3 linked regions of the Oryzias latipes genome follow. Each later gene encodes a partner of the first gene's protein in a complex. Links are inferred from orthologs where the notes say so. Each region holds a gene or a part of one and is shown on either strand. Other genes may lie near its edges. The genes, in order: e2f1, ccnf and ccna2.

Evidence for each region.
Region 2: the proteins of e2f1 (region 1) and ccnf are in contact, whole or in part, in a cryo-EM structure (PDB 9CB3), measured with the Homo sapiens proteins. The link is inferred for Oryzias latipes from reciprocal best matches to the Homo sapiens genes E2F1 and CCNF. Residues at the interface, in NP_005216.1 of Homo sapiens: Gly84, Arg85, Pro87, Val88, Lys89, Arg90, Arg91, Leu92, Asp93, Leu94, Glu95, Thr96; in NP_001752.2 of Homo sapiens: Met309, Ile312, Leu313, Asp315, Trp316, Glu319, Val320, Met323, Arg349, Leu352, Gln353, Trp379, Leu380, Thr381, Asp382, Thr384, Asp504, Tyr505, Val508, Leu510, Thr511.
Region 3: the proteins of e2f1 (region 1) and ccna2 are in contact, whole or in part, in a crystal structure (PDB 1H24), measured with the Homo sapiens proteins. The link is inferred for Oryzias latipes from reciprocal best matches to the Homo sapiens genes E2F1 and CCNA2. Residues at the interface, in NP_005216.1 of Homo sapiens: Val88, Lys89, Arg90, Arg91, Leu92, Asp93, Leu94, Glu95; in NP_001228.2 of Homo sapiens: Met210, Ile213, Leu214, Trp217, Glu220, Val221, Glu224, Arg250, Gln254, Tyr280, Ile281, Thr282, Asp283, Thr285.

The regions. Positions count from the first base shown.
Region 1 is NC_019865.2:1,999,714-2,004,750, reverse strand, and holds the start of e2f1 (transcription factor E2F1), read left to right. Parts: upstream 1-1,714; 5' UTR 1,715-2,623; intron 2,624-2,713; 5' UTR 2,714-2,919; coding exon 2,920-3,171; intron 3,172-3,259; coding exon 3,260-3,359; intron 3,360-4,478; coding exon 4,479-4,698; intron 4,699-5,037. Other genes in the region: znf341 (zinc finger protein 341), read right to left, coding at 1-106, 605-715, 1,173-1,203. UniProt on the Homo sapiens protein: Transcription activator that binds DNA cooperatively with DP proteins through the E2 recognition site, 5'-TTTC[CG]CGC-3' found in the promoter region of a number of genes whose products are involved in cell cycle regulation or in DNA replication.
Region 2 is NC_019866.2:11,077,113-11,082,294, reverse strand, and holds the start of ccnf (cyclin-F), read left to right. Parts: upstream 1-1,878; 5' UTR 1,879-2,270; coding exon 2,271-2,283; intron 2,284-3,312; coding exon 3,313-3,467; intron 3,468-3,630; coding exon 3,631-3,737; intron 3,738-3,834; coding exon 3,835-3,902; intron 3,903-4,348; coding exon 4,349-4,545; intron 4,546-4,941; coding exon 4,942-4,995; intron 4,996-5,182. UniProt on the Homo sapiens protein: Substrate recognition component of a SCF (SKP1-CUL1-F-box protein) E3 ubiquitin-protein ligase complex which mediates the ubiquitination and subsequent proteasomal degradation of target proteins.
Region 3 is NC_019868.2:207,394-212,515, reverse strand, and holds ccna2 (cyclin-A2), read right to left. Parts: upstream 3,500-5,122; 5' UTR 3,132-3,499; coding exon 2,931-3,131; intron 2,624-2,930; coding exon 2,371-2,623; intron 2,274-2,370; coding exon 2,167-2,273; intron 2,097-2,166; coding exon 1,873-2,096; intron 1,798-1,872; coding exon 1,593-1,797; intron 1,515-1,592; coding exon 1,401-1,514; intron 1,226-1,400; coding exon 1,092-1,225; intron 599-1,091; coding exon 547-598; 3' UTR 152-546; downstream 1-151. Other genes in the region: bbs7 (Bardet-Biedl syndrome 7 protein), read right to left, coding at 4,283-4,416, 4,502-4,625, 5,056-5,122. UniProt on the Homo sapiens protein: Cyclin which controls both the G1/S and the G2/M transition phases of the cell cycle. Functions through the formation of specific serine/threonine protein kinase holoenzyme complexes with the cyclin-dependent protein kinases CDK1 or CDK2.

The sequences.
Region 1 (5,037 bases):
AGGGAGGGGGCTCCGGAGTGGCACTGCTCCCGCTTGTGTGTCATGAAGGCCGGCAGGGAATTGAACTGTTTCTTACACTTCCCACACAGGAAAACGTCCTCGTCCTCTGCAGGGAGAGCCCACGGTGAGAAACCGTTCCTTTTTTCGATGAAAGAAGCCTGTAGACTGATGGAAATTTGGCCCACGGGCCGGACTTTCGACATGCCTGATCTACATGGCTTTTGAGAGGAAGAAGGTTTAAGTTCCACTCCAATCATCCCCTGATCTCTTTTCGTTTTTAGCCAAAAATACATTGGAAAAAAACTGTTTGTTTTCTAGAACATAGATTCTGCAGAGCGCCAGGAGCTGTGGGCGTGACTGTTGGCACAGAGCAACCCCCTTGTTGCTGAGAGCTCTTTGTTTACACACTAGATAAAAGCCCCTCAACCTATTTGTCTGCAAGTGGATGCATCAGAATGGGGCGGAGCAGGGAGCCTGTGGCCCCGCCCGGCGGATTTTCTACGTCACAAATGCGATCTTTTACGAATACTCGGAAATGCAACTTTGAGCTTAGTTGTCTTAATCTGTAGCAGTCCTGTGGAGCTCGGTGCAGAATGCTCCTTACCCATAGACTGGATGGTGGATCCTGCAGACACATTCTGGTTGTTGGGGTCATTGACTCCCCCCTGGCCATCCAGCAGGGACTGGACTGCTAGAACGGTCTGGTTGTCCATGCCTGAGGGGATGGAGGGAAACAGGGATTTAACATCAGTAACAGCTTTTCTTTTTACAACATGTTAGAAGAAGATCTGCTTCTCCATGAAAGTGACAGAAACAATAACGCGAGGAGTGCATGTTCACATATTAATGAATAGCTTTTATTGTCACATGTACAGCTTTTACACTGACATACGAGATGAGTTATTATATTACAGAAATAATTAATATTACATTTACAAAAAAAGCCGTTTATAGCAGTACAGTCTTAATCTTTAAAATATAATCAGGTTGTTTACAATCATCATCATCAGATCAGGCAGAACCCTTCAGTTCAGGGTGCTTACAGCCTACATAATACCCGTTTAAAGGGTGATTTAGTGTTCAAACAAGTCTCCAGTTAATTTACATGATGTGGTTTTCTTTGGCATATAACATATTTAATAATTGCGCGGTAAATAAGACTATATTTGTACCTTCCAGCGCCTCGAATATTGTCTGCGCCATCTTACAGCGCTCCTGTTTACCATCGGTGATCGATTGGTAGGGTCTGTTACTTTAGGTGCAGACCCCCCAATGAAATGCTTACATTAATATTTGCAAATAGAAAAAAACTTATCACATTTGGTTCAGACCCCCAGAAAACTCTAGTTTAGAAAGTTCCTAAGCAATCAGATTTAACTTTATTTTTTGTTAATCTGATTGCTTAAACGGAGAGGGAGCGCTAGGGACTACATTGAAAAAACGTAACTTTTTTAAGCTGGGACGCAAAGACTGTTACATCATATATTTAATATGGTAAAGGAGTTTATCTTTTAGTTTTGGGAAACCTTACATGAAACTGACACTACGTGTTTTACTATTTTGTTTAAAATTTCCTAAACAAAGCAGTTAAGAAGCCTTTTGTCCGTGGAACGTGAATGCACCTCCCAATCAGCAAATCTGTGCTCTGGAGAGTCACAGACGGCCATCTCCGCCAATCAGAGAACACCAACCTGGTCACATGGAAGGCCAGTTTTCCCCATGCTCTGTAACGTGACAGACGGCCATTTCCACCAATCGGAAGACACCAATCGCGTCACGCGCAAAACGAATCCCACTGGCCAATCCCAGCGGTCGCTTTTCCCCACGTGCCAGTTTCGCGGCAAAAAGGATTTCGCGCGAAAACCGTCCAGCCTTGTTTAGATATAGATCAGCTGGGACAACAACAATGACGGCTGCTAATGGGGTCGGCGCGGCTCGTTTACAGATGGACCCGATCTTCGGCGAGCAGACGAAGGAGCATCGGCACATTTTTTAACGTTTGAGCGAGTATTTCCTCCGTTTTGTCTGCATCTCCCGCGTTTCTCCGAGTGCTTCCTGCGTGCCCCAACAGTACGAGGGGGACCGAAGAACTGCAGCTAATCCCTGAAGCTAGCATGCTAAAGTTCCCCGTATTTCCGCGCTAAACTCTCTGTCGTCGCCGTCGCCCGGACGGATGGTTGCTTTCTTTTGGGAACTATTTTCTCAAAGATGGTGTGGATCTGCGATCATGATGCCTCCGCCGAGTGAATGTGTATTTTTTTTATTGCTTAGATAGCCCAGTTCTGTGAGCGTCTATAAAGTTTTCCGAACCCGTTAATGAAGCCATATCGTAGGGAAAAGGAGATAAACTTTTAGGTAGTGGTGGTAAATGTAGTCCTCTGCTGTTGTTCGTGTTTATTAGCAAAGTTGTTGTAGTCTTTTCTTGTGGTAAGCTAGTTCGTTAGCTTGGTAGCTCTGTGTTTGAGGACGGAGTGGCGAGGCCTCTGACAGGAAAACGAAAGACTAGCAGGCTAGCTCGCTCATGATCTCAATTTACGGCGGGTTTCTTCTTCTACTTCGTCTTTTGACCTTCTTTTATTTCCGCTGAAAACGGCGCGCGAGCCGAGCAGCGCGTGAGCCTAAAGTAGGATGCGCTCAGCGGGTCGTTTCCTGTTTGGGCTCCACGTCTCGCCTTGACGTTTGAACCTTCGACTCCTCTGTGGTTGATCTGCAGATTTCAGGCTCGCTGTAGGTCAACCTTCAGCAGGAGGAGGAGGAGGAGGAGGAGAGGTTAATGGATCAGCATTTTCTCCTCAAGTCCTCCTAACATGTTTGGGGTCACCTGGTGCTGAGCCTGTTTTGATACCCCAGTTGGTGCCCCCACCCTCCCTGGCATTCCCCCAGTCTGCTGCAGGAGCCCTTTGGGCGGCAGGCAGTGCCATGTCAGAGACTCTGATAACGGGTCAGACATCCGAGGATCTGCTGAAGGACTTTGAGACTCTGCTGAACTCCGGGAGCATCGATCTGAGCCAGGACCACCAGATCGTCATCATCACCAGCCCCAGCAATGAGGGACTCCACCCGCTGGCCGCCCCCAGCAGCACGGGGGAAATCCTGCTATTCGCCACGCCGCAGAGCCACGCCGACGCGGGGGGCCAGGACAGGAGGAGGCCGGCTCTGGGAAGACCTCCGGTGAGGGCGTGGCTTCAAGGCGGCCGCCGCCGCCACATCATCACACGCCGGGGTTCACATAATCGATTCCTCTTCATTTGATGATTAGGTGAAGAGGAAGCTGGACCTGGATAGCGACCACCAGTATGTCAGCACCACCCGATCCTCCGCCAGCCAAGCACCTCCTTCTACTCCTGCTCCTCCCAGAGGTACGCCGCACGCTCAGGAGCAGGAGCGCCGACTCGGCATCCTTTCACGGCGCTGAAGCTGGCGTCCGGTTAGCGGGGGCACTAAAGGAACATTCCACTGCATTTTTCACCCTAAGACCACCTTAGACCAGGTCCTTTTCAGAAACCACAGGACCTGGGCTGCTCAAACCTGGATTAAAATTAGGATTTAGATAGTAAAGAATTCATTAAACACAGCTTCTGATTTATGAACATTGAAATGGGATGATTTTATGTAGTTGATCAATTTAAAATGATCTATTTTTAGTCTGCCGTCGTTTGGTGAGCTGCATTGCAGGCAGACGACACGAATTCACAAGAGGGGAGGCAACAGAATCCCAAACAACAGAGCGCTGCGAGCAGGAAAGCCACAAAAACTTTAAAATGATTAAATAAAAATGAGTCCAGGTCCAGCGGTTTTTCAAAAGGACCGGGTCTTAGGAGGACCCGGTGCGTAAAATACTATAAAATCCTCCTATTTCACATTTTCATGAGTCAGAAACTGTGTTTAATGAATTCTTTACTATCTAAATCCTAATTTAATGCAGGATAGAGCAGTCCAGGTCCTGTGTTTTTGAACAGGACCACCAATCATTTTACATCTTTTGGATTGCGTAACGCTCAGACTGACTCATGACATCATGGCGTCCACATGCTGCGTGAAGCGTTTCCGTCCGCAGACGTTTGGGGCCGTTGGGATGAGAAGTTGAAGGAGAATTTCTGCTGAAGGCTGAGCCTCAGTTCCTTTTGTTTTTTTATCACTGAAATCCACATTTGACCGTTCAGTTCTAAGATGTTTCCTTCAGCAGAATCTTCATCGGTGGATTTCTATTTTTAAACCACCAAAAGACCCGCCGTGGCTCCGAAATCCAGGTCCCGTGGCCACGTCAGAGAGGGCGGGGCTTGGAGTTTCTTTAAAGGCTGGTTATAAATATTACCTTAAAGAAAATAAAAGTTTCGATGGCGTGGTCCAAACGAGGCCTGCCTGTGCCGCTGGAACGTCTTCACAGCTGGAGTCGGAGGATCACCTGTTTTCCACCTGGATGTGTGTTTTGTTTGTGGAGGAGGTTTAAGGCGGCGTGTTTTTCACTGCTTTTCCAGTTCCTCGAAGCACGGCGGAGAAGTCGAGGTACGACACCTCCCTGAACCTGACCACCAAGCGCTTCCTCAACCTGCTGTCCCAGTCGGCCGATGGCGTGGTGGATCTGAACTGGGCCTCGCAGGTCCTGGACGTCCAGAAGAGGCGCATCTACGACATAACCAACGTCCTGGAGGGAATCCAGCTCATCTCCAAGAAGTCCAAGAACCACATCCAGTGGCTGTGAGTTGATGGTCATGGGGGAGGTGACGAGCACGGAAACAGGAAATGCTACCGGAACCGCAGCTGGATGATGGACCTCTATCCAGCCGTTCTGTTGGGGAACATTATTTTTGAAGGAACATTTGGTTAGACGTTGAAACCTCTCAGGAGTTGAATTAAGTTAAGGATCATTGAAGAAAAGGAGCTTTGGGGTTTTCTCCTCCCCTGGCAGAACCTCATGCTGTCATATTCTGCTGGTTCCGGATGGGTTAATGCAAAACAAGTTGTTTTTTTTCTAACTTAGCAACCAGCAACTTTGTGTGGTTCCCCCGATCAGCAATCAATGAAACGGATCCCTGA
Region 2 (5,182 bases), on another chromosome or scaffold:
GCATCTGTGTAAAAGATGAATGTGTCTGTTTTTGATTAGTCACTGCCTCCAGCAGCTGTCTAATGCTACCTTGGTGATGAGATAGGGGATTGTTTTTGGGATAGCTGCTTTTGGAGACAGGTATAGACTGAAACTGCACAAGGCTGACCAGACATTCAAATGCAATTAGATGTTAAATTTTATTAAAATGAGTCTTTCTGTAGTTATAGTAATGCAAACAAATGTGGGGAAAAGCAAGTGAATGGAATGGTATCTGAACATGAAAAAACACAACTTCAAATTATGCATCAGTCATTTCAATTTCCAATATGCTGTTTATTTTGTCCTTAGTCTATTCGTTTTAGGAGAACAAAACCATAAAGAAATAAAAAGTCTAATTTCCAGATGTGCTACGACATGTTTTTTTGGAACAATTTTACAACTGGATGCTTTTGATGGAGAAAATCAAAATGTCATTTTTAAGACCCCATTATGCTGCCTATTTGTTATCATTTACTTTGTGGGGTTTTTTTTACCTGAAAGTGGCTGCGATGGGTTGGAGTTTCTATGGAAACAGTGCATCCAGTTGAAGATGTCACAGCCCTTGCCCTGACTGAGGTCACTCAAGATAATTTGATTTTGCTGCATCTCCAGTGTTAAATAGAGCAAAGAATATTTCCCATAGTGAGTTAAGAGGAAATACACTTTCTTTATTGTGCAAGTCAAGATAAAAATGGGAAATAAATAATATTGCCGTGGAACCTTTTTTGACACTTCCAAAAGCCTTTGCCCTCTTAAATGTAATTACTGAGTAGTAGCTTTGTTTGTAGCGATGAGATTAGGTGAACAGGTGATGAACCGATCAATAGAAGGCTTGAAAGCAACAAAGGACTGACTGTGCACTCTGGTCCTTTATAACCTCCTTCCAAAAACTAGCAATCAAGAGGACACTATTCAGCTAACAGAGAAGTTTATTTATCGTCAATAGAGACGCAACAAAAAGGTCTTAATCATGTAGTTTTCTCCGAGGCAGCTGCAATAGAGGCCAAACCAATCTGTTGCTTTCATTCATTCATTTGTGTTGTCGGTCACATGGTTACTGAGATGTGAAGTGATGTGTTTTTGTGTGGGTTGGAGGGGGGGGACTCGTTTTTGTTATCTCGTTAGGACTTTTGCTGGTATAAACAGAAACCTTGTCAGGGTTAGAAACCCTTTTGGGTATGAAAGATTGGTCCAAATGAGGCAGGATGTAATTGCTGGATTCCTGGGTATGGGGGCAAAGGTGTACATGGAGGTTAAACTATGGTAAACTAGAACCTTAGGGGAGGAGGGGCAAAATCCAATAAAGCCAGGATATTATATAAAGATTTGTGTAAATCCATGTTTTGCTCTCAAAACTGCAGAAAAATAATATATCCTTACATTTTTTTCAAGAACTGCTAATTATATCAGGAAATTTAAATTTGCATTTAGAGTAAAGAGAAAACAACAACGCTTGTAAATTTAAATCAAAAGTTAAGAAGTTAAAGGTTTGCACAATACCAAAACATAAAAATAAATAAATAAAACTAACAAAGAAAAATGTACATTTGTTGTTTTTTATCTTATTTACTTAACAGTGAGCTTTTGGTTCAAACTTATTCTCCACAGTTTGAGTACCAATAACGTAGTTGGAGCTGTTTTTTTTTTTTTTAAGTTCTTCTATTATACCACTGTGGGGAGGGTTAATTTGTAGCTGTCCCTTTAAAAGCGGTACCTTTAAATTGTCTATTTTATGTGACTACATATCCCATGGTTCACTTCAAAATGGTCGCTCTGTGGACAGCTTCATATTCAGGTCATCCAATTATTTGTGCTTTTGGGCGAGCGCGTACTTCGAAAAGGCATTACGTTATCCAATAGAATTCTCTACTTTTCCAGTTTATACCGTATGGCCAACCACAGCCTTCGCTCTGCGGGATGACCAATCGGAAAGTCTTGATGCAACGGATGGGCGTCACCACTTTTCACCAATCAGATTAAACAATGAGTTTAAACCATGGGCGCGGGCGGTCCTAGACCGCTTTCGGGGCGGGGCCAAATGTGGACACGCTTGGATTTGAATTCAGGCAGGAGCTAACAATTTATAGGATGTTAGCTGGTGATAGAAAGACAGCAGATATCGTATCATTCTTAATTTAGTTTTCTGACAAAAGCAGCAAATAATTTTGCTTGTTTTAGGTGGTGTCGTCACTCATTATACGCACTTGTTCCGTGTTGTATCTCCATACATCGGTCTTGAGCCACTTGCAATGAAAGCGGGCGGTAAGTAGATTTTAAAAACTTTCTTCCTACTAATATTTATATCTTCCGTGAAACAATAGTTAAATATTTTGCCTTTTATGAATGTAAATATATAGTCTGTCTTTATTTGTAAGTATTCAGAGAGTGCAGTGAAATTTAGCAACTAAGTAAGCGATGTACTAACAAAACTTGTTCTATTTAAGTTAATACAAACCTAAAATCAAAAATAAAGTCCATAACCTTTAAATTAATCTAGCTTGTTTGTTGTAGTAGTATTTAAATATATATAACTATAAACTAGATTTAAAAATAAAGAACTCAAGCTTCAATCGGAATACGGGAGGGAAATTTGGGCGCTCATCTGATTCGATTTCTTCAACTCAGAAACTTACTTCAAACTATTTTTCTGCGATTATTCAGGTGCAATGTATATTTAACACAACATTTTTTTAAATGAATCCTTATAAAATGGTTGGTGTTTGTTTAAATCTTTATCATATTTATTCAAATATGCAGAGAAGGCCACACGAGGGTGTCAAACGTTTGTCATCTTCATGATGGAGGGAGTTGAGAATTTACTGTCATTTATCTTGAAGGGTCTTCATATTTTCAACTTTTTATCCTTAATTTTCATCTATTTACAAAAATATGACCAAAATAGTGTTTAACTGTATTTTATGAAACTTTATGCTAAGTGAAAAAGTTATTGCTGTAGAGACGAGGCTTGCTGTAGAATCTTATTTCTTTCTTTTTTACATTTTTTTTTAAAATAGGATTTGATTATTCTTGATTATTTTTTTATTTTATTTATGACCATCTTGACCAAATAACACAAGAGGAGGCAACTGCCTCTAAAATGCCTTTATAATGATGTGCAAATATTGATTTTCGCACAGATGTGAGAATGAGTTTTTCGCATTACCCTGTGAAGTGCTTTTGTACACTTGAATGAAATTCTGTACATTTCTGCGTGCATTAAAGATGCTGCTCTAGAGATGCATCCACAAATCCATGTATTGATGACTTTTTCCTCCCTTCCTCTGTCTACAGTTGTCCACTGCCGTTGTTCAAAATGTTACTCGGTTCCAGTGCGGAAGCGGGTTCGTAAACGCTCGTCGTCCCTAACGCTGCTGTCTCTGCCTGAGGAGATTCTTCTCTGTGTGCTTCAGTGTCTGTCTGCAGAAGACCTCCTCTCTGTTAGAGCAGTAAGTAATGATGTATGCATTTGAATTGTGCAGTTTGTTCTTTAACATATGTGCTGCATTTTGTCAAATCTCAAGTGACTGTTCTTTGCGCATCTTGTGACTAAAAACTATAAAGTTTCTTTTTGTTCCTGCTTTTGTTAATCTTATTTTGTTTTGGTTGTAGGTTCATTCCCAGCTGCGGGATATTGTAGACAACCACTCCAGTGTGTGGGCCAGGGTCAGTTTCAGAGACCGATGGCCATCCCCCAACACCTTATGGCTATTTGAAAAGTATGGTTCCCTCTTACAAAAAAAGAAAGAAATTCACTGTTCTGACTGCTTGTCATTTATCGAGTTTTTAACTGCAATTTTTTTTTTCTCAATCTAGAGCTGCAGAAAAAGGGAATTTCGAGGCTGCTGTGAAACTTGGGATTGCTTATTTATACAATGAAGGGCGTAAGTGCACTAAAGGCTACATTTCCTGAGCAGTATGTATTTTAATCAAAGACAAAATGCTCTCGTTCTCAAGAGCAATAACACAACATAACATCAAAAACACCTAAAGACAGCTTTACACTATCAAGGGGTCTTCAATCGCATCCTCAAGGCATCATTATACATTGCTTGCAGCCTCTGCATCCTCAACAACTTTTAATTACCCACAAGTGGGCAGTATATGAAGTATGCATTAGGAGAAAAAAATATAAAACTTGCCTTTGTGTGCGTCTTCCAGCACTATCTACCTCAGAACGGTATATTTAAGATGCTCGACTGGCGTCTAACAGGAATATTTCAAAAACACATGGTTAAAAAAAGTCAGAAATTTTTTTTTTATAGCTTAAGACACTTATGAGTTTGTCTTGATATGAACCTTTTCTACTGTCTTCCCTTTTGTTCTTCAGCGTTGCTGAGTGATGAAGGGCGAGCGGACGTCTGCGGTCAAAAGGCCTCCCACTTCTTTAGCCTGGCGGAAAGCGTGCGCTCCCCCAAAGCCGACCCATTCACTTGGGTTTTCATCCGTCCGCCGTGGTCACCCACCGGCAGCTGCTGCAAGGCCGTGGTGTTCGATCACCTCAAGGCCGAGTGCGATACTAACATGGTAGGTGCTGCTGCTGCTGTTGTTGCTGCTGCTGTGGCTCCATCGAGTCCATCCTGAGGAGCCCTGTATCTGTGTTTCTTTAATCTTTAGCTTTGTCTTCTATATTTGACAGACAACAATATGCTTAGAAAAAATCAGTCTAAGGTCAGTGGAGGGTAGAATCTGGGTTTTAGGTGCTTATTATCAGCAGATTACATTTTAGCAGAAAAATGATGGCCTTGATGGTCTATTTTCTGCTCCTGGAAAACACTGACACTAGTTCCTGCTGAAACTATTACTAGCATATCGATTTTAATGCGTTTACACACACCAAAGTACTTTTATCGATCTATTTTTGGTGGAGATTTTTCATTCTTTCCATGTGTTCCATTATTGATTCTTGTGCTTCCTCTGCAGGAGAAGAAGGGTCCCTTGTTGCACTGTTTGGCCAGAGTTCTGCTGCTGTTTGAGGTGAGTAAAAAAGCTGGGTTAAATCTGGTTGTTTAGGGCGTTGTTGGTTCAGTTTCTGTCTGCATGTCATGAATATGTGTGCTGTTTGTCATGGGGGACTGTGTTGGGTTAGTTGTTAGGAGCCCACACAGATAAAATCATTGTTTTTGTCTGTTCTATGTAACTGATTCTTATTCACAGAATCACT
Region 3 (5,122 bases), on another chromosome or scaffold:
GATGTCAGACACAGCTGGAGGAGGAGACAAACCCTTAAAGTGTAGCCCTGTGCATTCTGAGCTCCTCCCCAGCAAAGTTAAACCAGAACAGTTCTCTGAAACCAGATTAAACCAGCAGCGGTTCTTTACTGCCCTCATGTGTACAAACGGATAGTCTTCAAAAAGAAGTTTATTTATAAGAGCCATGGTCTACAGTGCAGGAAGCCAGTGGATGAAACGGGACACAGATCATGGAGTCAGCCTTTAATCTGCATCACATCAGGCAGTCTAAGATGAAGGAAACTGCCCGGCTTCTACAAAGGCTGAACATTTGCAGATTAAAGCAGCACTGAATGAGGACAGACCGACACTAAAAGCCATTGATTACACAACTGGATGCACATGGCATAAATGCTGAGACTAGAAATATAAAAATATTAAAACCTCTTTAAGGAAAAAAGAAAAAAGGAGCACCACTCCAAAAAGAGCAGAACATGCCGTCTAAAACTGGTACGTCATTTACAAAAAATGATTAAAAAGACTAACAATACATCAACAACAAGCAGGTCACTTCAGCAGCAGCTTGGAGGGAGCAGCGATCGTGGAGACTTCAGAGTATCTGTGGAGAAAAGACAACGTCAGAGTACGACAGCGTCTCCTGGAGGACTGCCAGCCTTCAGGAATCTGCATTCTGATTACACGACTGAGGATTTTTACAACATTCTCAGCTTAGAGGACAAATGCTACACATTTCTGAAACCATGTTCCTCCCTGCAGTGTCACTGAAGTGAGTAACAGGCCAAGGAGTTTACCATCAACAGTGAAGATGCTGGAGTCTGGAGCCGCCTTTTGTTTCCATGCAACTTTTCAGAATTATCCGATCATCTTAACACCTCTAATCTCGCGGTACAACTAAAGACACATTTTTAGCCATCATTTAATTGAATTTAAGGTTACTTATTGTAAAAAAAAAAAAATGTGGTTGGGAAGTTTTTACTGCTAGTTGAGCTCTCAGAAATTGTCAGATTCCTCTGATACTTTTTTAGAGTAATACAAATATTTTCCAACGATCCTTAAATAGAAGTACACAAAATCAAAGTACGGCAGCTCACCTGGAGGCCTTGTACTTCTCGCGGACAGACTGCTGGGCGTGCTGAGCGGCGCTCAGGAACATCTTGTGAAGGTCTTCGATGCACGGCATCAGGTCTACTAGCATGTAGCCCGTCATCTCTGCCAAGGATTTGGGCTGGAGCAGAGCAGAGAAAATGTCAGTGAACCAATTTTACATTTCCACAACCACCATGAGCCTCAGCCTGGCATGTGACAAACAGCCCCACGTCCCCATAAAGCATCTCAAACCAAAACATTCAAGCGTATAACCCTTCACATTCCTAACTTAAGTTGGAGGGAAATAGTCTCACCCAAGAGCCGCCGGTCACTGCATGGTTGGCGAGGATGTAGGCTGCAGCCGCCGTCTGCGATGGCAGGTACTTCAAGAAGGGGTCTGAATCTATCAAACTCAACTCCCCGAGGTACTGAGGACAGATCAAGCACCGTCAGAGCACATCCATATGCTTCTGTAGACCAACACGACGGACCACATGAACACTCACCATTGCCAAGCTTTCCACCTGTTTGTTGACGCCGTGGTGGCAGAAGTACTGAGTAAGAAACTGGTTTATCGTTGGTGCTGCCAGATCAAATGACAGGACTTTGAGCACCAGATGCTCCATCCTCAACACCTGCTTCTTGGTGTACGTGTCATCTGTGATGTAGACGAACTCTGCCACCTCAGGAGGGTAAATCTCTTCGAATTTCCTGCACATACAAAGTCATTCAACCTTTCCGAACCAAACTAGTCGTGTTTTCCTGGGCAGGATAATTGGCACATACGCAGCCAGCAGCATGGCAGCAGTCCCAACAAGCTGGAGTTTGCCCCTCAGGACGGACATCGACGAGAGGAAGCGATCAATGTAGTTAACGGCCAGATACAGCGTTTCATTGTGGAGCTTGTACTCTTCTCCAACCTCCACCAACCAGTCCACCAGGATGGCCCTCATGCTGTTTGTGATGTCAGGCTGCTTCTTCATGTAGCCGGCCTTCGGTCTGGTTTTCACCTGAAACAAATACCCGATTGTTGTAGCAGAGATGACAGGAGGGGAAGAAAGGAAAAGGAGAGTCTCTCACCTCCATCTCCCTCAGGTACAAATGAATTTCAGCTGCATATTCTGGGACTTCGTTGACATTAACTTGTTTGTCGTCCACCTCCACCAACGACATGTCCATGGGAGAATCTGAAAGTCATTTAGTGCACAGATGATGACACCTCACTTTGACACCAAAGCCAACATCGGTCATTACTAAACAAGCCAAGATTCTACAGCAGCCCACCAAAGCCGGCTTCCACAACCAACGGGACATCGAGGGCAGCCAGGGGCTGTCGGCATGTCAGGGCGTTGTGGACGGCCACAGGAGAGCGAGGGGCCGGGGCCCTGGCTCTGAGGGCCTCAGACACGGTCTTCTTGGTGCAGGCGCCATCAGGCTCATCCATGTGGATCTGGAAGGCCGGCTGCTTGACAGGCGGCTTTTCCAGGACGCTTTTCCCATAATCGTCAGCTTTACAGGATGAGGGTAGAGCAGAGTCCTGGAGGCAACAGAACACAAGAAAGGTGAGTTTCTGCTCTGAAGGCAAACAGCAGCAGATCTGCTTCAGAAGACAGAACAGTCTGTAAGGTAAACTAGGAGGAGTGAGGCTAAAATGGCGCACAGACTGAACATGAAACTACAAAGACCATCTCCAGAAGCAGATCTAAGACAGGTTCAGATGCTAAAGGCGAATGACTGTTATCACGGTGCTAGAACCGAGCCACAGCCGTGAGGAACCGGGAGCACAGCCGGATAACCGGCGGCTGGCGCCCCGCCGCGGAGCGGGCCGTGCGGCGGCATGCTACCTGCTTTGCGCCGCGGAGGCTTTGGGTTTTGTTCCGCTGGTGGTTCTGCAGAGCTCCCAGCACGGTTCTGTTGGCAGCCTGTTTGGGCGGAAGGTTTTCGCTGGCTGCAGGCCGGGCTTTGATGGCGCCTCTCAGCCTGCTGGACGGCATGTTCTCCTGGTTTTGGAGCTCACTCGCCGCGCTTCGGTTTGCCGCCGACATGTTTCCTGCAACAAACACTCGCTGCTGGCTTTGACCTTTGAACTCTTCGGGACCCCTCGTCGTTCGTAGCGGGGATCGGGTCGGGTGCTAGCCTGAAGTGGAGCCGAATAAACTCAAAACTAAACAGTTGAGATGGCAACGAAAAAACAGAACAGCAGCGCCACAGCAGAGGAGCGCGTGAGCGGTAGAGCGATTCCAAAGCGCGGGACACAAACACACTACGGTTCCATAGTCACGCGGGTCCACAGCACAACCGACCAGGACACGAACCACTAGCAAGCAGACATTTAGGAACAGGGTTCTGCTTTCTCTCAGTTCAAGTAGCCCGCGAGGATTGAACCAACCAATCACAAAGCGCACAGATGGTGACGCTGCAAAACTACTGGAGCCGCAGTGGTACAAATGTCTTGATTGCAAATTCAAAACCGGTTGGACCCGTTTGTCTGCAGCGGCACAGAGCAGCAAACGAAAGGAAACGTCCCTGCTCAAGCAGACGGCAGTCAGGACGACGTCCGTGGATTTTAACCGTCTGCAGACTCTTCTGAGCGTGTTTATTTACAAAAACTAAAATAAAACGACACTTTCTGAAGTGTTGTCAGATTTCAAGTGCTTATGAGCTTATTTGACCTGCAGTTAGTAAGGATTCATTTAAAGGAAAAGGTTCTCCAAATATAATACACTGGATTCTCTGTTTAAGGGTTTAATGGCCATTATAATAAAAATAAAGAAGAACAAAGCACGTCACTGAAGATGTGTTCAGTCATGTGTTGTGGGGATTGAACAGGCAATGAAAAACACCACAAAACATTTCTACATAGTTTAATATGGTCTGATCTTTAAAAAATCATATGACATCTTTTGACTATTTCATTTTTAAATAGTTTCTCACAGAGATTTTCATATAGAAATGCAGTCCGTTTAGCTTTGATTTCTGTCTATGAACCTGTGATATGTTATTAAATGAAAAAGAGGAGTCTGTATTAACTACCTGGAGGAATTTATAAAGTCTGGATTTAAGCAGAAATAATTGTGGATTGTGAAACCGACAGCTTCTGAAAACAGCATGGCACCATGACACAAACTATAACTGTCATTACATAAAGATGCAACATAGAAGCAGAACACGTGAATGGATTTTATTTCATCCAACCTCAAACATCATTGAAAAATTCTAACAGAGAGTTTAGATCATAGTTATCCAGAATCTCCAACAGAGATGACACCTTTGTTTTCACATTCTGGCCTTTGAACTTGAATTTATCAATGAAGAGGTCAGTGATCATTCCTGCAGGAAAAACAAATATAAAGAAATAGAAATTAGTGTCAGGAGACCAACAGAAATTAAGATAAATGTGGCTTCTGCAATGTACCATAAAGCCTCTCCAGATGTGCTGGCTGCTTCTTGTATTCCTCCAGAAGACTGGCAGATTCATCCAAGATGCTTCGATACTCTGGTATGAGAAAACTGGCGTTTCCCTCATGAACCTGAAGCTCCTGACAATTCCAGAAGAGATGTGGGTGAAGTGAATGTACAGAACCTCAAGTACATCACCAAACATCAAACCTTCACAGAGAAGAGTCGCTGGTTTCCTGATTTTAATTTCAATTCAGCAGAAAATAGGAATAAGACATCCTTCATTGTAGGAGCTATATATCCCATTGTGATATATTATTTTGCCTATTTCAAATACAATTATATACATTCTTTAAAGTGCATTTCTCGCTTATTTTCCATCTCTCTCTGTTTAAATGAAGCTTCCATCTGTCACTCCATTTCAAAGTGGGCAAACCTACATAATCAGCAAAGGATCAAGTCCGTTTTTCCTCCACTGTAGTTGCAGATGTACTGCAGTTCTCGGCTGTCAGTGACATCTGAAATGAATCTTTCCTTCATGTGTGCAGATGAACACAACAGCCTGCTTACTCTCAGAGCATCAACAAGCTGGACCTTTTTAGCCAACAGCAGCTGGTACTCCAACTTTGGATGAATC